4 linked regions of the Rhinolophus ferrumequinum genome follow. The protein of the gene in region 1 interacts with the protein of each later gene in a biochemical or structural test. Links are inferred from orthologs where the notes say so. Each region holds a gene or a part of one and is shown on either strand. Other genes may lie near its edges. The genes, in order: KIT, TEC, MATK and GRB7.

What was found.
Region 2: the proteins of KIT (region 1) and TEC form a complex in vitro, tested with the Homo sapiens proteins (2 studies listed by BioGRID and IntAct, with this or other methods). The link is inferred for Rhinolophus ferrumequinum from reciprocal best matches to the Homo sapiens genes KIT and TEC.
Region 3: the proteins of KIT (region 1) and MATK form a complex in vitro, tested with the Homo sapiens proteins (2 studies listed by BioGRID). The link is inferred for Rhinolophus ferrumequinum from reciprocal best matches to the Homo sapiens genes KIT and MATK.
Region 4: the proteins of KIT (region 1) and GRB7 form a complex in vitro, tested with the Homo sapiens proteins (3 studies listed by BioGRID and IntAct, with this or other methods). The link is inferred for Rhinolophus ferrumequinum from reciprocal best matches to the Homo sapiens genes KIT and GRB7.

The regions. Positions count from the first base shown.
Region 1 is NC_046288.1:16,906,027-16,913,712, forward strand, and holds the start of KIT (mast/stem cell growth factor receptor Kit), read left to right. Parts: upstream 1-4,677; 5' UTR 4,678-4,762; coding exon 4,763-4,829; intron 4,830-5,264; exon of another isoform or gene 5,265-5,519; intron 5,520-7,686. UniProt on the Homo sapiens protein: Tyrosine-protein kinase that acts as a cell-surface receptor for the cytokine KITLG/SCF and plays an essential role in the regulation of cell survival and proliferation, hematopoiesis, stem cell maintenance, gametogenesis, mast cell development, migration and function, and in melanogenesis.
Region 2 is NC_046288.1:8,156,344-8,163,380, reverse strand, and holds the start of TEC (tyrosine-protein kinase Tec), read right to left. Parts: upstream 3,005-7,037; 5' UTR 2,986-3,004; coding exon 2,884-2,985; intron 2,454-2,883; exon of another isoform or gene 2,434-2,453; intron 1-2,433.
Region 3 is NC_046301.1:59,688,771-59,695,934, reverse strand, and holds the start of MATK (megakaryocyte-associated tyrosine-protein kinase), read right to left. Parts: upstream 3,001-7,164; 5' UTR 2,860-3,000; intron 2,758-2,859; exon of another isoform or gene 2,550-2,757; intron 2,499-2,549; exon of another isoform or gene 2,416-2,498; intron 1,301-2,415; 5' UTR 1,249-1,300; coding exon 1,240-1,248; intron 889-1,239; coding exon 775-888; intron 679-774; coding exon 563-678; intron 483-562; coding exon 263-482; intron 1-262.
Region 4 is NC_046304.1:36,331,464-36,339,056, forward strand, and holds the start of GRB7 (growth factor receptor-bound protein 7), read left to right. Parts: upstream 1-4,576; 5' UTR 4,577-4,752; intron 4,753-4,838; exon of another isoform or gene 4,839-4,861; intron 4,862-4,872; exon of another isoform or gene 4,873-5,019; intron 5,020-7,593. UniProt on the Homo sapiens protein: Adapter protein that interacts with the cytoplasmic domain of numerous receptor kinases and modulates down-stream signaling. Promotes activation of down-stream protein kinases, including STAT3, AKT1, MAPK1 and/or MAPK3. Promotes activation of HRAS.

The sequences.
Region 1 (7,686 bases):
ACACACATTGTACCTTATACCACAAATCAGGGCACCATCCTTGAGTCCCTCTTCCCGCTCATCTTCCCCACTACTGTTAGTGATCAAGGCCTAGTTCTCTCTCATTCATCCTCTCTCACCAATCTCACCTCCACAGACTTAATGCAGTTCACATTCTCCCTTGGTTCACCTCATTAGGCTCCTCACTGGTTTATTTTTGCCTCAAGGTTTGGCCCCTTTCAACTCATCCTTCACTGAGCTTCTCCACTATCTTTCCAAAATGTAAATCTTACCATCTCTGGCCTCATTGTAAAGAACTCTAGTGACTCTCCATAGCTCAGAGGGTGCAGTTCATGATTCTTGGCATGAATGGCCCTTGTTTATCTCGGTCTCCACTCCCGCTCCCCGACAGGCCCCGTTTCCCTAACTGTGCCGGACTCCTCGTGGTTCTTCCTATTCGTCAGTGCTGTTTCATGCCTCTCGCCCTTTGCATGTGTGCTTCCTACCCTTGCGTTCTCTTCCCTGCTTTGCCTTCCTCTCCTCCTGATCCCTCCAATCTAGTTGTCACGTCTTTGAGCGAGCCTCATGAGATCACTGCACAATATGATTTAGGGGCTCCTCTGTGTTTAAACATCACGGTGTGCATAGAGCTCTCTTAAGTACATATAATAATGTAATCTTTGACCCCCTTATGCGTCTCTCTTCTTTCTCTGCAAAACTCATGAGTGCAGCATCTGTATTTTGTTGAACTTCGCATTGCCAGCAATTATTGTAGCACCTCTGGCACATAGGTAATGTTCAATAAATACTGAATGAAAGCTTGAACTGAGAGCATGCTTCATCTTCTTTCAGCCTCACAAACTGTGAGGTGGTTATTGTTAGTATTGAGTCTAGCAATAAGGATCATATATTCATTTATCCCACTTTATGGACAAGTGACAACACCTAGCCAGTTCTAATGGTTATTGGAAAAACAGAAACTATTAAGTAGTAAACTTGAAAAGGATTATACCCTTGGTGTAGTAATTTTACCTCTAGGAATCTATCCTAAGAAAATAATCAGAGGCAAGAGATTTTTATTCACCAAGATATTCATCACCAAGTAATTTGTGTAGGGAAAAAAACCGAAAACAATAGAGAAATGATTAAACATCCAGAATTATGGTACATATATACAACTGAACATTATACTGCCATTATATGTTATTTTTCCAGAAAATTTTTAATGACTGCTTACTCGTATGTTATGATTAATGAAAAAGCTGGATAGAAAACTAGCAAATATTATAAAATCTGAAATTATATAAAGGGAAAAAAAACCTTAGAATACGTAGGAAAAAAATTTGAAAGAAACACACCAAAATGAACTTTTCAGCTAATTATATATTGGGTGATTTTGTTTTGGTTCATTCTTATCATTTTGTGTATTTTCTAAAGTTTTTACCATAAGCATCTTTACTTTTATAATCAGAAATATGAAAAATTTTCAAGTTAGAGGTTTGGGCTGTGTGAGACTAGAGTGAATATCTTTTGTTGTATTTGTCCAGCATCATTCCTCCTTCTTACAGTGACAGTACCTAAATTTTTGGTGAGGACACACCCCTCCTCATTAAGAATGGCCTTGTGATGTGGGTGAAGTGGACCCCAACCCTGGCTCCAGGGGTGCGCATGTGACCCAGCAGAGGCCAATCCTCATATGCCATCTGGCTTCAGTAACTGGTTCCAGATGGTCATGTGACTTAAAATAAGTCAGTACTTTTATAGATGTTCACGAGGGCAGAACAGCTCAATGAGCTGTAAGCCTAGAGCTGCCTGAGTGTTCACAAATACAGGGAAGCAACACAGGAAAGTACTGCTGACGGATGGAGATAGAGAAAAATGCACGTATACACACACACACACACACACACCACCACCACCACCACCACCACCATCACCACCACCACCACCACCACCACCACCACCACCATCACCACCACCACCACCATCACCACCACCACTTTTGAGTCCTTATGACTTTCAGTTTTTGGATCTGGGAAAGTCTGCCTGGACTTTTCAGTTGTAAAAGCCAATAAATTTTAGGTTTCTTTGTTTGCTTAAGTCAATTTAAGCTGGGTTTCTACAACTTGCAGTCAAAAATACAATTATAAATACAATAAAAAATGTAAAGTATAATTCATGAAAGGGTCCAGGGCTATCACAAAATAGAGTACAGAACCGGTCCCATACATCCTGAGATATAAAACATTTCCATCATTGTAAGTATTTCTGTTGGACATGTTCTAAGATATTTCATTCTGAAAACAGTTCATTCCTAGTCTCTTCTAGATGCCTCCTTATAGTACATTAGCTGGCAGGGGGTATGAACCATAAAGGCGCAGAGACTGGAGATCTCTGCTCTGCCCAGTATTAAACCTTTAATTGCTGGATCTGATGAGAAAAAAAAAAAAAAAGAAAGGGGTTGGATTTAGGCAGCATTTAGATATTTAGGGGAGTGGCAGCTTTTTTCCCCAATGAGTGCAGAAGGATTTCAACATTCTACCAATCAATATGGCCAACGTGGTGTGTACTGGCTGCACATGAGCTCTGGTAGAAGATATTATAGTTTCTTATTTGGGTATGTTTTATTCCCCCAGGACTATGAATCCCTCTAGACAGGGACTTTGTCTTAATTGATTTTTTGTAGGTCTTGTGCCTACCTAGGTGCTCAATAGATGTTTGTTGAATGGTGAATATGAATGACGGTCCAGCATTGTAAAATTCCCTATTCTGGTATTTTTCCTAATAGAATTTTCCTGCTTAGAATTAAATTGCAATATGGTCTCTTTTCACCCACTCTTCTGAAGACTTGTTATCCTTTCCAATCTCAGTTGATTGAAGGAGAAAATTGTAAATTTTCTCTAAGGCATATTGTTGGTATTTTAACCCATAGTGATTTTTTCTCACTACAAAATGGATTTTAGAAATAAATCAAGATCCCAGAAACTCATGATTGCTTTGAGTGGTAGCTTTTACCTCTGTCATCCTAAGAAAAAGATACGGTCCAATGGCCCAAAACACAAACAGAGAACTTTGAATTTTAGCTGTACAACTTGAACCATTTGCTAGGATACTGGGGTGTGGTTCTCCCACTTGACTGTAAAGATTGTGGTAGGGCCCACATCTGTCTATTAACAATAGTGCCTCTTTGTTCCCAGTAGACACCTAAATGCTTGTTGAATGAATAAACAAATTTAGACAAGCAATCATACACATTGATCGAGTAGTGACAATTTTTAAGTTGTTTGTTTAGCTTTGAAAATCATTTTTCTTAAACCAGCTTAGGTCCTATATCAACATCAGACAGGAGAGATTTCAATATTAAATAAAGTGTGTGTGTGTGGGGGGGGTAGTTACAAATTTTGGATGCTATTGTAGAGAAGAGTCTAAGTATATCTAAATTATTCCATCACTTTCTGATGGGCAACCCCCCTCTTCCCATTTAGTTTCCATCCTGAAGCTCTCTGAAGGGGTGTTTTACTGTGTTATTAGAATGCATAGGGAAAGCTCATCATACCTCGAATTATTCTTAAAATGACTGGGTCTCCTCTGTTAGCTGTTAGCTATTTCTAAAAGTGATCGAACCACTTTTAGAAATAAAATAATAAACGTATCTGCTCTACCTACCTCACAAAACTGTTATTGTGAGCATGAAATAATATTCAGTGTAAGAAGGAACTATAAAACTCTATACAGATAGTACTGTTACCTTGGGTAAAGCACTTCCTAGGCAGTGGCACCTGGCTTAAGAGAATCATTTTACTATTATTTTGCTCCCTTAGAGCTGCCTTAGCTGTAAGGCAGCTAAGAGGAACCCTCGGATCCCCACCCCTATAACTGTCGTCTGATAGAGAGGCAGAGAAACCATACAGGGAAAGGGGGGAAAAAAAAAAGGCGCCCAAAGGGTTTTAGCACGACTGTGGATCCCGGAGCAAACTTCGCAAGGCGCCCCTCCCCACTCCAAAGCCCCAGTCTCTAGAAGTCTCAGCAGGAGCTTGTTGGGCTGAGGCCACTCTGACGAATAGAAACCAACTGTGCTGTTACAGGTTAGGGAGCAGGTGGAGAAATCGAGCATAAAGAATTACCTACGCCCTGGCTGAGCCTTTTACCGCTGTGCCAGGCGCCGCGCCTGGTCTCCCTCGACTAACAGGAATGGAAAAGAATATCGGGCTCTAATTCCTAACCCCCTTTCCACTGCGCCCCAATTCCTGTCCCGGCACCACGTCCACCACCTGCGGCGTCCAGCCTCTTCCCTCGCGGGCGTGCTCGAGGAGAGAGCGGCGGACCTTTATTATCTGGGGAGCACCTGCCAGGTGGCGGGCCCGTGTCCTAATGTGCGCGTGGTGCCCAGCTTCACAAAGCGCGCGGGCAGCACCACCCTCGTCCGGGAACGGCTTCTGGTAGACCGATCACATCACAGGGGACGAGAGGTGGAGAGGGGCTCCGGTTTTGAAAGCGGGCAGCAAAGGCTGGCACGCCCTCCTTCTCCCCGTGGGTTTAACCCCCACGGGATTACCAGGTCGAAAGAGCAAGGGCCAAACGCCGCAGGGAGGGAGCGAGGGAGGGAGGGGAGGCGAGGAGGGGCGCCGAGAAGGGGCGTGGCCGGCGCTCAGAGGGAGGGCGCTGGGAGGAGGGGCTGCTGCTCCGCGCTCGCGGCTCTGGGGGCTCGGCTTTGCCGCGCTCGGTGCACTTGGGCGAGAGCTGGAACCTGGAACGGAGCTCCGATCCCAGAGCAGCCACCGCGATGAGAGGCGCTCGCGGCGCCTGGGATTTTCTCTGCGTCCTGCTTCTCCTGCTCGGCCTCCAGACAGGTGGGAGAGCGCGGCGGACACCGGGTTCGCGCCCCCTGCCGCTGCCTGTGCCCCTGAGGGCTGCAGCTCTCTGGGGTGTGTCCGGAGAGGTGGCCGCCGGCCCACAGTGCCCCTGCGTTTCAGCCTCCTGGCAGATCGAGGCGTCCCGGGGACTCTCCTGCGCCCAGCCTCGCTCACCTGCGGGAGGATCCCCCAGTCGCTGGTGCTAGGGGCGCTGAGCTGGGGTCTCCCAGGCAAGAGGGCAACGAGTGGGGTTAGGCTTGAGCTAGGTGCAGGCTGAGGGCGCGGGCTGCTTGCAAGTTTGGGGTTGCTTTTGTGCGAAGAGTGCGCAGGGGCAGAGGCGGGCGAGTCCCGGGTTTGCACCCCGAGCGTTATCTCCGCGGTGCGTGGCGCGGCCGCTTCTTCCTTTTGTTAAAAGTTGCGCTTGTGTGACCGGCGCACTGGAGGACTGGCCCGCAGGTTCTCAGTCACGCCGAGGGCAAAGTTGGAGAGCTTTTTTTTTAGCTCTGCGGCTGCTGCTTTCCAACCTGGCGCTCTTTGTGCCCCAGAGCTGGGGACCGACCCACTGCCGCCTCTGCTCGTGGCGCCACCCGTGGACACAAGTCGAAGGCCGCGGCGTCCCCCAGCCCACGGGTTATGCTTTTGCACCGGGTGTCCGCCGAGTGCGATTCTGATGTGGCGGCTGCAGAGGTAACTTGGGCGCCAGGGCGTGTGGAAAGCAGCCGCTAGGTTGCAGACTTTTTGCTTTTGTAAATCTCGTGCTGGAGGCTTATCCTTTTCTGCCGCGGTGCTGTTTCTTTCCTGCCACGCGCCTCGGTGCTGCCGGAGGCTGCGTTTGCAGCCTGTTCTTGGGAGAGACAGGGACGGTGCGTTGGGACACTGAGGTCCCTGACCCCGGCCGTCTGCAGCGCTCAGCCGGAGAGCCCGGCCAGGCTGGCGGGGCTCTGCAAGCCCCTCGAATCGGGGTCTGCGACCTGTAATCGCAGGTCCCTGTTTTCTTTGGGAATTCTGAGATTCACAACACCCCCTTCCACGTGATAGCTATACTTAAGGGCCGCCTGAGATGGAGGTGGGGATGGGGTAGGTGGGAGATGGAGTGGAACTTTCTGCAAATCCTCCTGGGATCTTAAAGCTGTTGTGAAAATCCGGTTATATCTGCGCGGGAACTTAGGTGTTAATGTTGAGGAGGAGGATTTCTGGAAGCCCTCAGTCAGATTCCTTTCCCTTCTTCCCTTTTTTCTGGGTGTTGCTGGTGCGTGAACCATTGCAGGTGGCCCAACCAACCCCTGTACTGCTCTCTCCCAGGTCACTGAAAAAAACCCAAAAAACCTTTAAGGCTACCCTGATGATGGCTAGAAAGTGAGTTTGAACTGGAATTCAGGGGTTCCAAAGGCAGCAAGCATCGCAGTGAACTATAGTGGGACTCTGGACTACCGTTCAGTTTTCCCATGAAGTCTCAAGATGCAGCCTCCGTCTTCCAGGTCTTGTAAGGCATTGTGAGGGCTTTCCTGTGGGGGAAGAGAGGCCTTGCATCTGGACCCCTTTGTGGTAGGAAGGATCACCAGTGAGTGGATTCCGTGATGGATTTGATCGCCTAAGCTTCAAATGATAGGTTTGGTCCTTAGGTCTTTGTGCTGTGGCAGTTTTAATTTCAGTTAAGGTATGTGAACCGGACGCAGTAGGGCACTAGAAAGATAAACCACACAGAATGGTTCTCTTTGTAAAAATTAAATGAATCAGTTGCTTCCTTCTTCCTCATAATTAGCCTGCTCCATCCAATAGATTTTTTGGCAAAGGGAATTTTACCGTCTGGCTTCTGGGGGAGGGAGGCGCAGTATGGTGTAGTGAGAAAGCCTCTGTGCTGCCCTCTGGTTTTTCTTTTCTCAATGATTTATTGGCTGTGTGCCCTTGGGCAGGTCGCTTAAATTCTGGGGGGCCCAGTATCCTCAAGAGGACAGTGAGGCATCTTCATTGTGAAGGATCCTTTGGGTCCAAAATTCTCCTCTTCCAGTGTTCTGAGTGTAGGCTGTACACTTCTTCTGAACTCTTTACCTGATTCCTTTCTACCTCCTTGAAATTCCTCTGCCTCTCCTAGTCACAGGGTCCAACCACTTGGTCATATCCTATTGATCTACCCCCGGCTAAAGCAGGGATGTGTGGCTTGTGCTTTCCTGTCCTCAGTCCACATGTGCTCACCTACAGTTTCACTCTGAGGGCTAGGAGGTACCATCTTGGCAGCAACTCCCCCTCCAGTATTTACAACGCCTGTGCTCAGCTGGATGAACCTGCAGGGAGCAGTGAATCATAACCTTCCCCTTGTTCCTGCAGGTGTGAGGCTAGCGTCATTCCCAGCAGCTGGACACATTCTGGATTATTATCCTGCTGGAAATAATATGATGGTCTTATAAAGGGATCCCAGATAAGTCATTTATCCCCATTCTGGCCTTTCCCACTCATCCACACGTTTGTTCTTACGACTTTATAAATCATGTATGCTGTGCCCTTGCAATATGTTTTTCTAGGCGCCTGAAATTTCACATTATGTGTGTGTTGTACATAGTTGTTGCTCTTTCATTGGAAACTGTGTGCATGGCCCTGTGCTGGGACCATTACCTGACATTTCCCGTTCTCTCAACAAGCATCAGAGGCAGTACTGTCACCATCCCTATCGGTTTTTTTTTTCCCCCTATCGTTTTTATAGCTGGAAGAACTGGCTGAGAACAAGTCAGTTCCCAGAATAATCAGCAGTGAAGCCTGAGGTTGGTCCCATGTGCCCAACTGTATATCTATTGACACGACTTACCAGAATCAGTTGTAAAGTGAGATTCATTTGAAACTATTTAATGAATACCTATTA
Region 2 (7,037 bases), about 8.7 Mb from region 1:
GAGCAATATAAAAAGTTGGCCAAGGGTTTTGGGTTGAAGTAATGATGAGTACATGAAAAACTAGGCAAATGAACAAACAAAACAATTACTAACTCCACGGAAAACAAAAAGTTGTGCTTGGCTTAGCTATGAATACTGATTTAACCAAAATTACTGTTTAACGATTATAAGGATGGGAAAATAAGGAAGCTGTGGTTGTGTTGGGGATTAGAGGGAAAAAAAGACAGCCAAGTCACTGTCGTCCACGTCATCTGCCAGTCATCTTCATGACTTGTGTTGTGGGAAGTGAACAGATAGTGTTTCAAACTAAAAGCTCAAGAAGTATCAACTACAAGCAATAAGTAACAAAATAACCAATTCAAAGAATTATGAGTGGTTGTTTCTTAAGAGAGAAAGAAATGTAACCAGGATAACACTTTAAAACTAAAACACAGAACAAAACAACAACAACAACAAAAACTCATTGGCTTCTGTGCCCACACATTTTTACATTTATTTGCTTTTTCTTTGTTTCCCTAACAACAATTTGTTTGGAAAAATTCCATCCTGTTTCCTCTAAACACAAGAAAATGTAACTTTCCACATCTAGACCACAGTAGCTGTGGTCATCAGAGCTGTGAGTTCTGAGATATCAAATGAGTTGGGAAAGTTAATAGTTATAATCCAATCGATGGAAGGACTGGTTGAACTAGGGCAGAAACAAAAAGACAAGACCAGATGGAGGCAAGTTTGAAGATGAGGCAACAATTAAGCCCCTCTCTTCTGGGCTTCTTTCCAACAAAGCTATTCTTATGGCATAATCACATGGTACAGGGTAATTTTCCTATTGCCAGTGACCATGGACCAATTTTACTCCTTTCTCACAGGTCTGAATGCCCAATTTATGACCCTAAACCAACCAAGGCAGCTGGCCCCCAAAGCGGTTGATCTGGGTTCAACCTGGGTTACTCAATTTGCCTATGAAGACTGGATAAGAGGAGAGCATAGTAAGGGATCTGAAACAAGTGACACTGTCATCAACAGATATTTACTGAGCATCCTTAGCAAACCCAGCACCAGGCTGAGGATCAACTCGCCTATCAACTATGTGGACCAAGTCACCCTGCCCTGAACAAAAAGGTGATTCTCCCTAGGGGTGGGAATCTGGGATGGATGGAGTGGGGTGGAAGGGATAGGAAGGATGGAGAAGGAGCTGAAAGAGCTGGGCCAGAGAGAGGAGGCACCAACTAGGTCAACCTGGAGAAACCTGCAGGCTCAGAGGCCCAAGGCCCAGGCTCCTAGCACTCTGAATACTCAAAGGAAGGCAGGGAGACCAACAATTCTTCCCCAAGCATAAAAGTGGCCAGACACCACCCACAATCCCTCCAACCACCCTGTCAAGGGCCAACTTCAGGAAGCAAAAGTCACGATTCTCTGAGCTTTACCATAAGATGACAAAGCAGAGTCCCGGCCCTTCAGTAACTAGCTGCTGAAAAAAACATTCTTATTCTTGATACAGAATAAGGGAAACATCAAGTTAAAAGTGCTAGAGCATACATTAATATTCTATATTCTTTCCTATTTGAGATGTGAAAATTTTAGTTCAAGGACCTACTTGCGGCAAAGGTATTGCTGACTAGAACACAGTACTGATTTGCATGTGTGTAACACTTGCCTTACAGTTTCACTTGCCTTACACAGTTCCACAAACCAAAATGTACACATCCTTGTGAGAAGACTCCAGATCATTAACACAAACCCACTGCAATAAGCATCATGACTTGGCAAGTGTAGTAATATATTGATCAGATGAACTGGAGCATGGGGAAAGTATAGGTCTTTCCTAGACACGTGAAAATGTCACTAAACTAAAAACTAGTTTCAAATACTTAATGAGAAAATTACACACTTCTTTTCTCCATATAAATCATAACATTCCGTACTGCATGAGATTCTTCCTGACTAAGGAGCTACTAGTGTCACAAATTAACCTGACAAATCTTGAACTTATTTTGGAAACCCACTTGTTTGTAGGGGTTGATTTTTCCTCCCCAGCTCTTTAGGGGAGAATCATCTGGAAGAGAGTTAATTCTCAGAATTTCCTAAAAGGAAAAATAGGCACTCACTGGGGAAAATGCAGGGTATATGCTCAAAAAGTAACTATTTTGGATAACCTTCAAACCCACTTAGCCTCCAGCCATCCAATTAACACCGAGATCTACACTTCTCATCAAATATGCCAGTTTCCAACGAATGGCAGTGGATGAGACTGTTTCCAAACCTGAATTTAGGAGTTAAAGTGAATACTCCTGGGTCGATCAAGGCCCTAGTTTTAATGATATACTCCCTGAACCCCTGTTTTCAAGATTTAACTACAATTTCCCAGACTAAAAGAAAGAAAAAAGTGTGAAGTTGGTGGGGTGAGGCACTCGGACCCGGGCAACTGTGGAATACCTGCGTCGCTTCTGCCAACTTTCAATCAAGCCTGCGCTGCCGCCCCAGCAGAGAGGAGGAATCTACCCAGCCACGCTGCTGGGAAGCGAACCCAGCCCTGAACTTGCCGCGAAGCTGCCTCGGCCCCGGGACCCCGGGAGAAAGGGGCGGACGCTCCTCGGGAGAGACCAGCGCCGGAGCCCCGGAGGCGGAGGGGCGGCGGCCGCCGAAACGGCCCTACCTGCGCCTTCTTCCTGGACCGAAGAGGACAGGATCCCGCACTGGCGTGGCGCGTCACGCTCACCGCGGCGCGGAGGTGGGGAAATCCCTCCTCGTTCCACGATGGTCAGTCTTGGTTAGTCTCGAAGCACGTGGAAGCCACCTCTCACCGCACGCATCCCCGTCCCGACCCTTCCTCGCCCGAAGTCCTGCAGTCCCCGGGGTGCCCCCGAGGGCCCACGGCGCCCTTACCTGGCAGGAGAGCGCAGGCTGCGCGGAGCCGGAGAGAATGCGAGGTCTGGCGGGCGCGGCGGAGTCCGGAGCTCCGGGCCTCTCAGCCCCGCCCGCGACCATCCCGCCCCGCCCCGTCCCCCGGTCGCTCCGCCCCCGCTCCCTACCGCGGGCGGCGATCGGCTCCCACCGCCCTGCCACGGTTTTGAGACCCGAGGCCTGAGTTCCGGGGAAGTCGCAAAAGTGTCCCCTGTGTTCCCGAACGACACGCAGGGACTCCCTAGTCCCGGGCTTCCTGTCCCGGAGAACCGCCCCGCGAGAGCTCGTACATCCCTGGCCTGGGAGCACCCAGAGCGGTGCCACCTGTGGGTTACTGGTTACTCTGTCGGAATTAGGGACCACACCTCCTCTTCCGCTAAGCGGTGGGGGGCCAGGCGGATGACAGGGCAGTGGAGCGAAGCGACGAGCTTTACCAAAAGAGTAAGTCTTCACTGTCACACCTGAGGCCGCGGAGGATATCTGACACACTTAGAGGGCCACCTGCACTCATGTTCATGTATTAACACTTCTGTCAAACTCATTGAAGAGTAGAAATCAGTACTTATATAAAACTGACACTGTGCCAAGCACTGTTCTACATACTTCACATATATTACCATTCTATAAAGTACGTATTTGTTATCAGAATCCCTCATTTTTACATGTGGTAAAAGGGAGGCGTAGAGGAGAGTTAAATAATCTCCAGAGTCCGCACCCTTAACCACTGCTATCCTGACTCTAAAATCTGAGTGTCTACCATGTCCCATGAACTCTTCCAGGCTTAGGGAATACAAAACAGGGCTCTGCCCTCAAGGAGTTCTATTCTAGTGTAGGGAGAAAGACAGTAAGTAATCAATAAGCAAGTAAAAAGAAAACGATTGCATATGTGGGAAGTGTCTTGACTAAAATGAAGCTGAGTGATAGAATTGAGAGTGAAGGGGGAGGCCACTTTAGATCTGGTGGTCCTGGAGGCCTCTCTGAGGAAGTGACCGTGGAGCTGAGAGCTGAATGACAGAACCTGGGCAGTCAACATGAAGATGAAAGGAATGGCAAGTGCACTAATAGTTATCATACTTCATGCCTGTTTGGGACTTAAAAATATACCTTCCTATAGGCTCTCCTTTAATCATGCAATAAACCTGAGAAGAAATCTGACAAAATTCCATTTTATAGAAAAAAGAAATCTAAGGGTACAGAAGTTTAATGACTTACTTAATTAGAAAAAGCAGGGGTTTGCGGCCAGGTGGCTCAGGTGGTTAGAGTGCGAGCTCTGAACAACAGGGTTGCCGGTTCAATTCCCACATGGGCCAGTGAGCTGCACCCTCCACAACTAGATTGAAAACAATGAGCTGCCGCTGATCTGCTGGAGGGCCGGCGGGATGGCTCAGTTGGTTAGAGCGCAAGCTCTCAACAACAAGTTTGCCGGTTCAATTCCCACATGGGATGGTGGGCTGCGATCCCTGCAACTAAAGATTGAAAATGGCGACTGGACTTGGAGCTGAGCTGCGCCCTCCACAACTAGATTGAAGGACAACGACTTGGAGCTGATGGACCCTGGAGTAACACACTGTTCCCCAAGATTCCCCAATAAAATTTAAAAAAAAAAAAAAAAAAGCAGGGGTATGCGAAGAGGGCACGGATTTGAACCAAGGCCTTCTAACTCCAAATCTTCTTTCACTCCGGTGAGGACCCTGAACATAATGTGACCTGTCCTCAGAATGAATCTAGTAAAATTTCTCTTTTGTGATATACTGTCTCCTCCCAGGCCCAGTCTCTCCTGCCTTTTAGCCCAGTCAGATACTCAAGTTGACTGATTGACATAATTTCCTCAAGGGCAGGTGTTCTTTGAAAGAGCAGAGGTCGGGAATCTTCTGAGATTGTGTGTGTGTGTGTGTGTGTGTGTGTGTGTGTGAAGAGTGTGTTATAGTTATGTAATTATGGTAATAAAGTCAGTTTTCTCCCAAGAAAAATTCATATATATATATACATATATATACACACACATACACACATGCACACATATATGTATGTGTGTGTATATATATATATATATATATATATATATATACACACACAAGGGGTTCCAAAAAATGTACACATTTTAAGAGATGTTATCTATGTATTACTTTTCGAAGTTGAATTGAATTATGATAGCAATGTGTAGTATGATGTTTGCTCAAAAGATGGCATTAATCAAATGAATGCCAGCGTCATTCACTGTATTACAATTTTAATACATTTTTTTCCTTTCTTAAAATGTGTATACATTTTTTGGATATATATATATATATATATATAAACTTTTATATATATAAAACTTTTAGAAATATAAAAACTTTTAGAAAGAAATATAAAAACTTTTAGAAAGAAACTTTTATATATATAAAAGTTTATATAAAATTGAATGATCCCAAAAAGAACTGTCTTAAGGGTTTAACTGATGTCGTGATTAGAATTGATTTCTAACTCACTTTGCCTACGCTAGCTAGGTGACTCTGGTGGCTCATATTTCTGACTTAATGGTAATGAGGCTCTCCAAGTTTATGAAGTTTGACTGAAAGCAAAGCAAATCCTTCATAAAGTTTAAAATTAAAAGAGAGGAAAATGTCTATATTGTCCCTCTCAGTTCTCAAGAAAACCAGCGAGGACTGACCCGTAAACAAAAACACCCAGATAAATATAATTTGGTATCAGTGATAACCAGGGTAGTTTGCAAAACATTATACTGTTTCCTGAAGGAAGCATTCATTACATTATTAATCAAACAGCTTCAGTAGGTGGTTTTCACAGGTGTGTCATCCCCAAACAATGTAATGAAGAGTACTGACAATTGTTCTCAACGGGATGTTGTTGAAAAGAAGGAAAGAGAATTTCAAGTAATTCTATTAGAGAATTTCAACTACATCAATGAAAGGTGTAAAACTGAACTCAGGATGTGGTAGGCTAAAAAAAATAGTTCACCCTTTATTATTTCTTATGTGGAAAGTTCAGTAGCTTTAATAGGAAACAAGAGTATAAAGTTTAGGCCTATGTAACTCAAACTTTTCTATTGGGTACCCATCAAAAGAAAGAATCTGGGGGTGGACTTAGAAAGATTTCTCCCTCTTCTCCAAGGAGAAAATTCAAACAATATTATTATTGCTTTCTTTAATAAAATCAAGATACAGAAAAAAAGGCATTAGAGACAGGGGCTCCCTTCTTACAAGATATTCCCGTGGCTTCTATAAAATTTGTATGTTTAAGTGAACAATATCAGACTGACATAATTTCAGTTCCTTGAGAGAAGAAAATGCCTCTTTTTACCTTGCATTTAAATTCCACATTATGCATAAGACGATACACAGAATCAACCAGAAAGGTTTGTAGATAAAGTGGTGTTTGTATTTGGAGCTTCTCACACTCTTTGCTTTGTAAATCTCTGGCTTCTTTTTGTAACTTTCTTCCTATCCAAAAGGGGCCTGGCCCATTCTAGGTGATGTTTCTAATGTTTGTTGAATGAATGAATGATGACAACATACAGATAATACAGACCTTATCAGTTTTTTATAGAGAGTCTGTTCCTACATAAAGATGACTTCATTTCAGTAGTATGATAAGCCTGCCTTTCTTTTCATCATGTATTGAAAGTAGTTGCTTTTTTGGAACTACATTGAAGAAAAAGTTTTAAATCTTGGACACAAAATCAAAAATTATACTCCTGGGAAAAGTTGCCAAATAAATCATTCAAAAGAAAGAAAAAGCATCATATACAAAGATGTTTATAAGTTCATCACTAATAATAATAAAATATAATTAAATGTCCAATAACAGGGAAATGTTTAAGCAAAATATGTCAATAGTTTGGAATGTCAGGCTGTCAAAAATAGTTTTTATGTTAATAAAATAGAAATATGGAGAAAAACTTGCGAACACTATGTGAAAAAAAGTAGAACACAATGCTTTATATGTCCTGTGATTGCAATCAAGTAAAAATTATGTGGGAAGAAACTCGTTGTGTTGAAAATCAGAACTATGATTAACAGTTATTAGGGTGTTCCTATGTGCCAGGCTCTGTCTCAAATGCATTAGATTAATTCATCTAATACTCAATGTGTGAAGTAGGTACAGTTCTTATTTACTTTTACAGATGAGGAAAC
Region 3 (7,164 bases), on another chromosome or scaffold:
GAGAGGGGTTTGGGTCTCACAGGATGTGTTGGGCTGGTTTGCATGGAAACAAGAAAGTATGGAGGCTAGGGGGGAAACAGGGAAGATGGGGAGGTCTCTGGATTGGTGTCAACTTGGAGGTTCCTGAAGGTCCCTGAAGGAGCCACCCCAGTCCTTGGAGGTGGGACCTAGAGGACTCAGACCCCCTAGAGAGTTGGTGGTCCATGGGGACCAGCTGCTTCTCTGCACTGGGGAGCATGCGTCTCTGGGTTCTGGGGCGCACCTCCACCATATCCATGAGGTTGCAGAAGCAGACGGCCTCGTCAATGGTCAGGTGGCCATCGCGGTGCAGCACGCGATAGTGGATGACATCTCGGCCGAAGCTCACGCACAGCACGTAGTCACCTGGATGTCGCACTGACTCGCGCACCAGAAACAGTCCATCCTCAGGCGGCTGCAGCAGCTGCACCGCCTCCTGGCCTGAGATCTTCCCATGGAACCACCTGTGGGGGCAGAAGGGCAGGCTGGACTGGGCTGGCCAGGCCCTCCTGGCCCCCCCATTCCAGGACGCCCCACAACTCACGGCATGAGGCTGAGCTTGGGGTCAGTGGAGAGGGCCTCACGCTCCCGGAGTGCGCCGGCTGCCAGCAGCCCCTCCTGCCCGCTGCTGTGGTGCTTGGCGCGGTACCAGCTCTTGCTCTGCCAGGGAGGGAGCCAGGGGTCCGTATGTGTGTGTTTGTGTGTGTGTGGGGGTCCTGTCCCCAAACACACCCAGGCCCTCTGGCTACTGCTCACCTCACAAGCCTCCAGGATGGTGACCACGTCACCCTTGCGAAAGGCCAGCTCTCCAGGCTTGGGGCGCATGTGCTCACACTTGGTGATGCATTGGGTACCTGGGGCCCAGCGCCTCTGGGTGAGGGGGTGAGGGAGAGGGGCAAAGGGGACATGAGGGAGATGCCCCGGAGAGAGAAAGATTGGACCGAGACAGAACAAAAAACAGAAAGAAAGAGCGAGAGGAGGAGAAAGGACAAGGGAGCTGCCAACAGAGATTTATTAGAGTCTCAAACACCAGGTGCTCAGTACAGGTCAGGAAGAAAAGGTGAAAGAAATGCAACACCAAATAACAGAAAGCCTGGGAGACAGCAGCTACAGGGACAAGGGTCAGAGTACAGTCCTCCTCCCTGTGGAGCTGAGGTCCTGTGGGCGTGGACTGAGCTGAGGAAGGGCCGAGGCCACAGGCACCCAGGTCGAGGTACTCACCGTGGGCATCCTGGCTAAGATGGGTGGAGGAGTGCCAGGCACAGAGGAAGCGAGGGCTCACCTGGGGAGGAGGCAGAGACCAGCTGGAGAGCCCAGATTCACCCCATCACTACCAATTCCAGCCCAAGCCGGGTCGGAGGGACAGCCAGGGGCAGAGGGGCTCAGGTATAGCTTCCCGAAGGCCATTTGGGAAGGTGGCCTTTACCCAGGGGAGTTCCTTAGCAGAGTCACAGCCATGAAACACCAGCAAGGAAACCGTGGAGCCTCGCCCCACCATGGTTCCCAAAGGGAAACTGAGGCATAAGGTGGGCACAGAGCTAGTGGCCACAGGCTGGGGAGGGGACAGGTACCTAGCTCAGGCCCCAGCAGCCCACACAGCACATGGGGAGCTTGGTGCCACCTAATCGACCCTGGTTCTTCCTCTTTTCTGGTGAGTGGGCAGGAACAGGGCAGACAAATACAGAATGATTCAAGGTCATTCCCAAGGAACTCTGACCCAGAGGTGGGGCGGAGGCTGTGGAGCCCTGCTGGGCTCCTCTGGCCACCAGCCAAACCTCTCTGACTCCCCCACCCCAACCCAGGACTGACACACACACTCCTTCATTGCTGCTTGGTTGGGGACTTTTCCACCCCTTGCCACCCCCATCTACCCTACCGCAAGTGGCTGGACAGTGGGGCAAGTTGCGGGGTGAATCTTGGTTCCTCCAATGTGCACCCCCATAAATCTTCAGCCCTACGTGTACTCACACCTATACTGATCCATGTACACACAAGCACATACAGAAACACACAGGGCTTGGACACAGGTGGACACAGGTACCCACAGGCACCCAGGTGTGTAAGCAAAGGCATGCCCCCCTAGAGACAGGTGTGCACACGCCTCTACATGTGTGTACACATGCGCAGGTGCTGGGACATCTGGAAACGTGTGCATCTGCCCACCCACTAACACACACAGACCCATACTTGAACACCTGGGCACCAAACGCTGGGCCACCCAGGCACGCAGAGCTACACACAGGGCCGCGCACACGCATCTCCGCCACACGCGCACATGCCTCCACGTGGACGCGCTGATACACACACCTGGGGGCTCGCAGACGCGCACACCCCCACCCAGACTACTCCCCACCCCGCGCTTGATTGCCTGTAACCACCCCCACCTCAGCAGCGTACCCGTCGCGCGCCCCGGACGTGCACACTCGAGCGCACACCGGCCCCTCCCGCGAACGCCCGGGTCCCCATGGAGCCCTCTGGTTCGCTTCCACTGCCCCTGCGGTCTCTACCCCCAATCCCGTCACCGCGCTCACCTGCTCAGGGGGCGTCCCCGGGCCGCGCCCCGCCCCCGCCCCCAGGAGGGCCCCCGCGTGCCAGCTGCGCACCCCCAAGGCGGGCCCCGCTGCACAACTTGGTGCAAGTTCCTCCGTTTCCTCATTTTGGGGGTGGAGGAGAGGTAGGGTGGCCGGGGAGCGGGAGGTGCCGCGGCCAGGGAGGATCCCGCGGGTCCTAGCGCCGGCCGCACTGCGGTCTGCTCTGCGCGCCGCCGCGGGCCCCTCCCCGCCCTGCCTCCGCGGTCCCCGGCACCTCCCGCGCGGCGCGGGGGGCGCTGGAGACTCTCACCGGCTCCACGCCTCTCCCTGGCCTGGTGCTGAGGGGCGCGCACCCCAGCTCATCCGGACAAGCGGAGGCCTTGGAGTGTGGAGCAGGTGGCACACCGCGCGCGCGCGCGGAGTGGAGTGAATGAGCTGCCGGTCGGGGAGATAAGCAGGCGGCAGAGCCCAGACGACAAAATGGGCCCTTCGGACTCTGCCTTTCCAACGCCCTGTCACCTCCTCTGCCAACGGGACCTCATTTAATTACCTGTTGCTGTAGAGAGCTGTTGATGCCTGGCACAAAGAAAACTCCCCCAAAATGTCAACCGCTGCCAGTATCGTCATCATTATCGTTAAAGGAAAATTGGGGCCACAAGGGAAAAAATCGTGTGGAACTGGAAGCCTCCTGGCGGAGCAACCCTCCTTTGGAGAATAATGGTGGGTCCTGAGGCGGGAGCCAACCCAGCTGTGCCAGAGGCAGTACTGCCCCACTCTTGACCTCCCTTTCCTCCTCTGAAGGGCTGGGCAACACGGGCGTCCCCTCAGAGGACAGCTGGATGAGCACTGAATGGCCACGCACTGGGCCTGGCCTCCAGCCATGACTCCATTGCTTCTAACGGCAGAGTCTGCTCGGACAAGGGTGGAGCTGACCTTGGAGGGCTCTGAGTCAAGATGCCCAGAGAGCCCTGCTTCCCAGCCACTGGGCACTGCTCTGGTCCTAGGGTTGGGACCCTGCAGCCAGCATTCAGTCAGGGTGATGGGGGCCTACCATATATAGCAAGCCATCATCACTTTCCAGAAATAGAAACCCAGAGTGAAAATAGCCACAGAGGAAACCCACAGACAGCACCATTAAATGCTCAGCAGGGACTGCTATGGCCCCAGGCCCCACAGTGGAGACCTGCCTTCTTTGTTCAGCAAGGACAGGAGCCCATGTCTAAGAGGTTGAGATGCCCTAGCACCCCGTGGAGATGTTCTCCTTGACGTAGTCAGAGAGAAGGGAAGAGGGTCAGAAGGGGCTGGCTTTCTCCCTCTGCGAATAGGTACTTAGGGTCTGAGTAACACCTACATCCTCCCCAGGATGCCCAGGGGTCCATGTCCCACATTCTGGAAGGCCCTACCTCTGAGTGATCAGAGGAAGCAAAGGTGTTGAGACTGAGGACTGACAGATTTAAGGAGAAGGTGTTAGGTGCCCGAATCTCCAAGGGTTGGCCTGGGGAACAGGGAGCCCGCCCCCCATGGGTGTGGGCATGGGGCATTGAGCTGTGCATGACTTTAGGGGGATAGATTTGAGTCCATGGTTAATTTGGGTCAGAGCTACAGAAGGGGTGAGCTCCCCAATCCTAGAGGCATCCAATAATTGGCACTTTGAATCACAAAGACTCAATGGGTCTTCCAGTCCCCAGTGATGCAACACCCGTTTTCCTGCCTCCTGCTAGGAGCTGAAGGACGTGCCTCTCCCTTCTACCTGCCTGAAGCCAGTTGGTAGCCACACCATCGGGTCGGATACCAGAATTCCCCAGTCCTGGGCTCTTCACCCTCCACATTTCAGTCCTGTCAACTTGAGTCTGGAAATTCTTTGACCCACCCACCCCCAACCCCTGGACACCCATCTGGTGCAGGCTGGTGATAGAGCAGCCCCCTTTCTGGTCTCCCAACTGCCTCCAGTTTTTCTCCTTGTTACCATTCATCTTCCACTGCATCATCAAGGGATGAAAATGTGACTGTGGCCCTCTCCTGCTCTAAATCCTGCTATAGCTCCCACTGCCTGCAGGACAGAGCCTAAAACACTCAGTCTGGCATTCAGGGCTCTTCATATCTGGCCCCTCCCTGGCCTCCCTGGCCTCAGTTGCTTCTGCTCCCACCAAGCACCCAATAGTTTGGCAACTCTGAACTGCAGGAGTTAGCATGGTTTCGCATGGGCTGTCCCCTCTGCCGGAATGTGCTTCTCCCATCCAGATGGCATCTCCAGCTCATCCTTCACGCCCAGCTGAACCGACATCATTTTTATGAAGCCTTCTTCAGACACCTTTACCCTTCTCAGAGCAAGTCTAACTTCTATGTCCTGAAAGGACCCCTAGCTAGAGACACTAGCCATCTCATTTCACCGATGGGCACGGATCTGGCCTTGGGAACTGAGACCATTAGCCTGCCTGAGAAAAAGCCAGCCCAGAGGAAGCAGAGCCAGGAAACAGACTGAATACCACAGGAAGAATTCAAATCGTTGGATTCAGCCATGTCTGGAGGTCACGCTATGCCTAGCATTGGAAGCAGTTCTTTGCTTTTTGGTTGCTTTCAGGAGGTTACTGCCACTTGTAACCAAAAGAATTCCTAATACTGAAAATGGGACCAGAGTGGGGTGCTGAAATTAAATCTCTATGATGTGGAATTGGTGAGTCAGATTAGGTTGCCCTAAACCCAGCTAAGAAGAGGAATCTCTTCCCTTTCATGCCCTGGATCAGGTGGTGCTGTCTTCTGTCACTTGCAACAGAGAAACCCTGATGAACCCACCTTGTCCCCTGCCTGAATGCCTTTCTTTTGTTCATCCGAATCTCACTGTTCTTCGCATCTCACTGTTCTATTTTGACTGTTGTGATTTGCATAACCCTCTGTTCTTCAAACTCCTGGAGATTTTGGGGACCCATCCTCTCATTTTAGAATTGGAGCAGCTGAGACCCAGAGAGGCAAGGCTACTTGCCCATGGTAACACTGGGGCTAGAAGTCAGGCCTGCAGACACACCCAATGGAGTTGTAGACTTTTCAAAGGCAGGATATATTTCTTATTCTTTACAAATATGGACGAAAATCATTATAGGCAATAAACAAAAGAAGTCATGTGACAGGCACTTTACATAATGCATCAGTTAAAATTAGGATTGGCTGTGGGGGATGGAAGACCCCAAGTGTTAGAGGCTTGAATTACTAGGTAGAAATTAATGCTCTTTGAGGGAGGAAATCCTGTGTATGTCAGGGGCCCAGGCTCCTGCTATCTTGTTGCTCTGCCTTTGTCCACACTCAAACTTCATTCTCTTGATCTAAGATGGCTGCTTGAGCTCCAGCCCTCTCACCTATTGCATTCCAGTCAATAGGAAGCAGGAAGTTGGCAGAAAAGGGTACATTTCTTCATTTAAGGACTCTTCCAGTGAAACCCCAGGAGCAGAGGAATCTGGGAAATGTAGTCTTTACCCCAGCTCATCCTCCATGTCCATGAAAACTGGCACCATTTTTATGAAACCTTCTCAGACATCCATACCCTCCTCAGAGCAAGACCTCACTCCTATGCCCTGAAAGGACCCAAAAGGGCCAAGAGGGGGAGGCAGGAGCACTGGCATCCTCTTTCTCAAAGCTTCCAGGTTTGCTCCCACCTCATGGCCTTTGCGTTAGCTGTGCCTTCTGCCTGGGACACTTCCCCAGACATAACCAACATTATAGCAACCCTACAGAATATTTCAACCTTCTGACATGTTACATTCTCTTTCCTGTAGCTCTGTGGAGCTACCATGGTCTGACTGACCATATGTTTTACTTGTTTATCTTGTTTACTGGCTGTGTCCTTTCTAGAACATCAACTCCCCAGGGCAGGGATTTTGGACAGTGTCGTTCACAGCTGTGGTCAGTTCCTGGCACACAGTAGTATTCAGAAAGTATTTTTTTAAGCCAGTGAATATTGGGGAGGGGAGAGGGAATGAGCAGTGCCTGTCACCTGTGAGGCAAGCACTCTCATTGTACCCATTTCACAGATGGCAAAGCTGAGGCTCAGAGAGTGCTGAGGCTCACCCTATGACACAGGAAGTGGTGGGCTGGGCTTTGAACCCAGGCCCATCCAGCTCCAGGGCCCACATGCTGGTGCACGGCATAGTGGTGGGCACATGACAGACCACCAGAGAATGTGCCCATAATTGAAATTTCTGGATCTGGAGGGCAGGCAAGACAGGGCAGCTGCAGCCAGATGTGGGGATGGCTGCGCTGGCACCATGGCCCCAGAGGAGCCAGTGGCCAGATCAGACTGCCCCAATTAGCACACCTTTAAATTTAGCTTTCTCTTCCCTGCCAGGGGACTCAGGGATTCAGCGGAGGAACACTCTGCTCTTTCGAGGAAAAATGCTGCATCGCTCATCTTGCAACCAGAGCTGTGGTCGGCTGCATCATTCTTGACTTGGGGAACAAGGGCTCCTCCAAGCGACCTGCTTTGGGGTGCCAGGGGTGATCTGCCGTTAATGGGGGAGGCTGTCTGCTCTCCCCCCACATCCCTCGCCTGTTCTTCCTTGTACTGCAGGTGGAGCCAGGCATATCATTTCCCTGCCACGCTTGCAGGTTCACTGTGCGTAAACTG
Region 4 (7,593 bases), on another chromosome or scaffold:
GTCTCTTCCTGGCTTCCCACCATAGCCCACCATAGCATACTAACAGGTCACCCACTCTACCATTTCTTTAAACCATTCATTGGATTTCTTCAAACCATTCATTGTTTTTCCATTTATTTATTTCCTCTATCTATCTATCTATATTAGTATCAGGAAAACCATTTTTTAAAGATTTTATTGGGGAAGGGGAACAGGACTTTATTGGGGAACATTGTGTACTTCCAGGCCTTTTTTCCAAGTCAAGTTGTTCTTTCAGTCTTAGTTGTGGCGGGCGCAGCTCAGCTCCAGGTCCAGTTGCCAGTTGCTAGTTGCAGGGGGCGGAGCCCACCATCCCTTGCAGGACTGAGGAATGGAACTGGCAACCTTGTGGTTGAGAGCCCACTGGCCCATGTGGGAATCGAACCGGCAGCCTTCAGAGTCAGGAGCACAGAGCTCCAACTGCCTGAGCCACTGGGCCGGCCCAGGAAAACCATTTTGTAAGCAATGATTTATAGAGTTGTACAACCATCACTACAATCCAGTTACAGAACATTTCCATCAAGCTCAAGAGGTCCCTCCAGCCTGTTGGCAGTCAATTCATCTCTCAGATCCAGCCACTGATCTGCTTTCTGTCTATAAATTTGCCTTTTCTGGACATCTCGTATATCAGATAGAATGATACAATATGTGGTCTTTTGCTTCTGGCTTCTTTCATTCAGTGTAGTTTTTGAGATTCAACCATGCTGTAGTATTACCAGTAGTTTGTTACTTTTTTGTAGCTGACTAGTATCCCATTGTATGGATATGCCACCTTTTGTTTATTCAATACCGATGAATAGACATTTGAATTTCCAGTTTTTGGCTATTTTGAATAATGGTGCTATGGACGTTCATGTAAGTACATACAAAGAGTATGTACATGTGTGTCCACGTTTCTTAGGTAGATTCCTAGGAGTAGAATTGCTGGGTTGAATGGTTAGTTTATGTTCAACTTTTTAAGAAACTGCCAAACTGTTTTAAAAAGTGGCTGTACCATTTTACATTCCCGATAGCAAAATATATGAGAATTTGTTTCCCCATATCTTTGTCAACACTTGTTGCCTATCTCTTTGATTATAGCCATCCTGGTAGGTGTGAGGTGGTATATCATTGTGGCTTTAGTTTGCATTTTTCTAATGACTAATGATGTTGAGCATCTTTTTATGTGCTTACTAGCCATTCATGTATCTTATCTGGAAAAATATATATTCAAGTATTTTGCCCATTTTTTTTTTTTAAGATTTTATTGGGGAAGAGGAACAGGACTTTATTGGGGGAACAGTGTGTACTTCCAGGCCTGTTTTTCCAAGTCAAGTTGTTGTCCTTTCAATCTTAGTTGTGGAGGGTGCCGTTCAGCTTCAAGTTGTTGTCCTTTCAGTCTTAGTTGTGGAGGGTGCAGCTCAGCTCCAGGTCCAGTTGCCATTGCTAGTTGCAGGGGGCGCAGCCCACCATCCCATGCAGGAGTCAAGGAGTTGAACTGGCAACCTTGTGGTTGAGAGCCCACTGGCCCATGTGGGAATCGAACCGGCAGCCTTCGGAGTTAGGAGCATGGAGCTCCAACCACCTGAGCCACCGGGCTGGCCCTATTTTGCCCATTTTTAATTGGGTTGTCTATTACTGATTCGTAAGCATTTTTTATTCTAAATTCAAAGTCCCTAACTGGATAGATGACTTGTAAATATTTACTCCCAATGTTTGACAAGTTTCTTGTTTTAATTTTCTTAGTTATATCTTTTTTTTTTTAACTTTTATTTATTTAAGCCTGTTTTTCCAGGACCCGTCAGCTCCAAGTCAAGTAGTTGTTTCAATCTAATTGTGGAGGGCGCAACTCACAGTGGCCCATGTGGGGATTAAACCGGCAACCCTGTTGTTAAGAGCTCACGCTCCAACCAACTGAGCTAACTAGCTGCTCCAGTAATGTCTTTTGGAAGGCAAAAAATTTTAGTTTTGATGAAGTTTAATTGACCAATTTTTTTCTTTTGTCACCTGCACTTTTGCTGTATGTGAGATACAAGATCATAAAGATTTTCTCCATTGGTTTCTTCTAGAAGTTTTATAGTTTCAGCTCTTATGTTTAGGTCTATGATCTATTTTGAATTAATTTTCATACATGGTGTCAGGTAAGGATCTATATTCATCTTTAGGCATGTGGATATTCATTCGTCCCATAACCGTTTATTGAAAAGATTATCCTTTTACCCTGAATTGTCTTGGCATCTTTGTCAAAAATCAATTGACCAGAAATGTAAGGTTTTATATTTGGACTCTTGATTCTGTTCCATTGATCCATACATCTATTTTTTGTTTCTTTCTTTCTTTTTTTTTATTGGGGAAGGGGAACAGGACTTTGTTGGGGAACAGTGTGTACTTCCAGGCCTTTTTTCCAAGTCAAGTTTTTGTCCTTTCAATCTTAGTTGTGGAGGGCGCAGCTCAGCTCCAGGTCCAGTTGCTGTTGCTAGTTGCAGGGGGTGCAGCCCACCATCCCTTGCGGGAGTCAAACCTGCAACCTTGTGGTTGAGAGGACGCGCTCCAACCAACTGAGCCATTTGGGAGCTCAGCAGCAGCTCAGCTCAAGGTGCCATGTTCAATCTTAGTTGCAGGGGGCGGAGCCCACCATCCCTTGCAGGACTCGAAGAATTGAACTGGCAACCTTGTGGTTGAGAGCCCACTGGCCCATGTGGGAATCGAACCGGCAGCCTTCGGAGTTAGGAGCATGGAACTCTAACCGCCTGAGCCACCGGGCCGGCTCTGTTTCTTTTTTTTAATTAAAAAAATTCAGATACAATTTATACACAGTAAAATTCACCCTCTTGAGTGTACCTTTCTGTGAGTTCTGACTCACAGTTGTATATCCACCACCAACACCAAGATACATAACAGTCCATTACTTCCTACAGGTCCCTGTGACCCTCTCCCTCCACCCCACCCCAACCCCAGATCTGCTTGTTTTAGTTTCACCCCCTCCAGAAAGCCTTAATGGAATCCTACAGCACTCAGTCCTCTGGCTTCCCTTTCTAAACTATCCTTCAACATCCAGAGTGATCTTTCCAAAATAAAGATCTGCCTGTTCCTCTGTGCCTCTATTTAAGCCCAGGTAGACCCTGCAGGGTCTGGCCTCTGCCCACACATAGTTCCTGCTGGTCTGGACAGACAGGATGGATGGCTCTTAAACCTGGTTCACAGAACAACCACCTGAGGGCTTGTCAATACCACACATTCCTGGGTCTTGGCCCCAGAAACAGATTCAGAGGTAGGGAGGGGAACCTGGATCTGTTTTTCATACAAGCCTAGGGAGATGTAGAGGCAGGTGGTCACCGGCTACACTTTGAGAAACACAGCTGAGTCCAAAGCACTTGCCTTTCCCCACACCTTCCACAGCCACTTCCCTGCCCCAGACAGCTTCCCCTCTGCTCAAATGTCACCTCAAGGGAGAAGTCTTCTTTAACTCCCTGGGTGAGTCATTCTCCCAGCATCGTTTGTCACCTGTTGTTTCTTATTATTTGTATAATTCTTTGATTAGCATCAGTCTCCCGACTGGGCCACAGGAGGACAAGGGCGCGGCCTGTGTTTGTTGCTTACCACTGGATCCCCAGTACCAAGCATGGGTTTGGCCTAGAATAGATTCTTAACAAATATTAGTTGAATGAAGGAATGACTGAGTGAACTGTCTACTGTGCTTTGCATAAGCTACTCCATGGCCCAGGTGACCTACCCCCTCCCCCACTTCTTTGCTTAGTCCACTCACACTGGTTTTTCGGAGAAAATGTAGTTTGGAGAAAGTGGAGGCTGGAGCCACTTTTCATGGTCTCCCAGGGCAGACCTCTTATCACCCTATGGGTTGTTTTGTTTACCCAACTGTCACCCACTTCAGGCTGGGAGGTGGCCTCTGCCTTTGATCTCAGCCTCCCAGGTCCTCCCCTCCACACCCCAGTGTTTGCCTAGTGCAAAAGGAGAGAGCCAAAGTGAGCGCTCTAGGGGAGTACCCTGGCACCTGGCCAGAGCTTTCCCTACCAAGAGACCATGACTTACCCCTTCAATTTCAGGAGAAGCTAAGCCCCTGCATTTTGCTCAGAAGGGAGGACATACCCTCCGTGCCTCAAAGGAGCCAGGATGCAGCCCGGGGGGCCAGGCTGTGGCTGGAGGTCAAGAGGCAGGCCGAGTTGCCGGACACTCCTCTGATTGGCGGCCCCCTTTTGTCGAGCGCCCTTTGCCCCAGGGGGTGGGACCCAGAGCAGGCCCCCAGCTTTGGCCAATGAACACTCCAGGTTTGGGGGGTGGGGGCAAGGGGAAAAGTGGGCGGGGCCGTTTCCTCTCACCTCGTCCCCCAGTCCCTCCCTCCCAGGCTGTGAGGTCTTAGCTCTTGAGGCTATTCAGTTCGACTGTCTCCGCCTCTCCCCTGGCACCTGCTGCCAGGCTAAGAAGGGTAAAAACAATCCCAGCCGGCGTACAGTTTCAGGGAGTCCCCGCCCAGCCTAAGCTTCCTCCTCCCATGCCGCTCCTCCAGGCCCCACCCCCACCTGCCCAAGATAATTTTAGTTTCCTTGCGCCAGGAGCCGGTACACACTGGGCTCACCCTCCCCCCCGCCCTCACTTCTACATCCAAAGGCGGGACACCCTCCTACCACCTGTACAGAAGAGGGAGCGGATTTGAAATCAAGTCCAGGTGTCTAGGGTCCCTAGACTGTGCCGATCTTCGGACTCTGTGTCCTGCTACTCCTGCTGAGGTTTTTACAGGTAAGGGGGCAGAGATCAGTCCCAGACGACAACCTGCACCCCGCCCCCCAGCCGCACCGGGGCCCCAGGCTGTGCCCGTCTCAGGGCCAGGAGCTGGCTGGCTGCCCAGGTGAGCGGCCGGGCGGCCAACTGGCTCCCTCTCCTGTTCCCCCCTCAGTGATGTCAGGCCAAGGGCGGGGGCAGGAGGGGGACAGGTAGTTAAGGGCTTGGCGTCTCCCTCCCCAAATCGGAGGCCCCAGCCAGGTGTCACCAACGCCCCGGGTCCAGGTAAGGACCAAAGCGGGCATTTCATCTTGGGAGGGTGGGGAGCACCGTCAGGACCGGGGACAATATGGGAAGATTCGGCCTCCTGCTGTGTTACTCCGGCGGCCTCTCTTTCTGTTTTCCTCTAGCCCCCCATCCCTCCCCTTCCTCACCGTCTGCCCTCAGCCTTTCCCTATCCTCATTTCCTGTCCTCTCCAACCGTTCCTTCCCTCTCTGTACCCAACCTTCTCCCCCCGCCCCCCGGATCAACTAGCACATGGGGACGGGGAAGTTCGATGTCAGATTCTCTACTCCGGGAGACGCGGCTTTCCCGCTGAAACTAGCCCCTCCCCACCCCCATTCTCAGAAGGCGAGCTAGGAGGGGGGTCCGAATATCGAGGAAGCTGCCCCGGAGTCACTCCCTAGCTCAGCCTGATTTTTACCTCAGTTTAAGTTTCCCCAAGTCTTTTACTAAAGACCGACATCTCTGCGACGGGAGGGAGGGTCTCGTTTGGAGGGCAGTTAAAGAGGGATTCTCTACGTTGCTAGAGCTTCGTCTCTCCGGATTGTACCTGTGTTCAGGAACACAGGGTCCTGCCCTCGAATGGGAGAATGGGGGCGGGGAAGGTCCAGGGTCCCTCCTGGCTTCAGAACAAAGTGGGCTGGAAAGGCTGGAGACCTGGCTGCTGGGGTGGTCAGCCGCACAGCGCGGCCTGGGGAGAGTGTGTGTGCGTGTTGGGGGGTCGGGGGGGAGGCAGATGGTCTCGTCTGTTTGAATAGGCCGGAGAAAGACCCAGGTCCCAGTCTGGGTCTCCCTGGCTCGTTGAGGATGGAGAATGCACCTGTCCGTGGTTGAAAGGTGTCCTAACCCCACTGCCACTCAAGAATGCCCCCTCTTGGTCTGCCTTTCATGGACTCTGCTCTCCCCTTCACCCCTGATACCCCCCGGGGGGGCCCTCCGCGAAGGCAAGCAGCCAGTAATGATTAACTCCACAGACACTCTAGCATTCTTACCAAATTAAACTTTAAAAGAGCTGCCCCCCCTTCTCCCATTGGGCGTTTCTTTTCTGAGCAAGGGAGTAGGCGGGGCCTCAAGGTCCAGGGCCCTCCCCCCAACTCCGGGTCACAGAGGGGTTCCCCGCCTCCTCACCTGGGCCCTGCACCATAAGAGCTCCCCCAAAAGTTGAGCCTTCCCCGCTACAATCAATCGCGATGGGGGCGGGGCATGAAGTTCTGGGCTAGACCCGGTCTTCCCTCCACGTCCAGGGCCCCAGCCCAGGCCTCTGTCCTGCTAGCCCCTCCCCCCACCCTGGGAAGCACCGAACGTGGCCTTGTTTTCTGTCGGCCTTAAACACTGGGCCTTGCCACCCGCCCTTGGGGCCAGCCAGGTGGGGCAAGATTCAGGAAGTAAACAAGGAGGCAGGAGGCAGGAGGCAGGCAGGGAGGGAAGGAGGGTGGGGCCGGAGCCGCCGGGGCAGGAGAGGCGGTGGGGAAAGCCGCTGCTTGGACTTGCAGTGTTTAGGGGACAGATTGATTCTGGGGTTTGGCTTCAGCAGAAGCGAATTTCCTAAGGCCCCAGTTTGAAAGCTTTAGCTCTCTTGGGAAGGAGGCTTGTCCAGGCCCCACAGCTGGGACCCCAGTTCTCCTATTTCATCTCTTTGGTCCTGATTGTGCCACTCTTCTCTTTGCCTCAGAAGGGTCTGGAAGAGGCGGGGTGGAGGGATCTGAAGACCAAACCCAAGTTTGAGGCCATACTAATCTGATTTAAATCTGCCCTCTCCCCTTCCAAACACTGCCCTGATTCCTCTTCCATCTGGGATGGGGGAGGACCCAGACTCCTCCCCGACCCCCCCCCCTCGCCTCTGGCTTCCAAGAGGGGTAGCCTCTGCAAACCCTCTCCCTAGTCCTCCTCGTGGAAGCGTTGTGTTCTGGTGGTGATGTACTGGTGTCTATCAGGATCAATGGTGGGAATATCTTCCCCTTTCCCAGTAGGATACTGAGCCCCTTCCTTTGCTCTCCCTCCTGGACCTTTCCTTGTCTGCTTGTCTGTCCTCCTGGGTGTCTTGACTTTCTGCTCCTGCTCCTGGGGTCCACCTCTTGCCAGGACACTAGGAGAATGTGTAGGAGGGCCTTCATCCCCCGTGAGCTGGCTGAGTCCTGGGTACTAGGGCCGGGCAGCAGCAGCAGAATGAAAGCCTGGGAGGCCCCATATAGTAGAGGGAGCAATGCAAGCTTTCTTTGGGTGAGTGAGGGACGCCCCTGGGAGGATGGCTCCACTACCGATGGGCCTCTAAATCCAGGCCTGATTTTTCTTCTCTCTTGTCCGGACTGGGGTGCTCCTGGGTTGGGTGGTGGTGACTGGACTGGGGACAGATTGCAGGTCCCACCTGGACTGGAGATGTGGAGGTAGGCCGAGGGTGAGGAGGAAGAGATGATGTCAGAGGAGCCTCAGGCCCTGTATCCTCCTCCCTTGCTCCTCCTCATCCCCTGTTGTGTTCCTTGCCCTGTGCCTTCCCTATTCCTCCCAGGCTGGAAGGTTGGGGGCGGGAGTGGAGGCGGTGTGTAGAGGCAGGGTTGTTTGTGTTTCTCTTAAGCCAG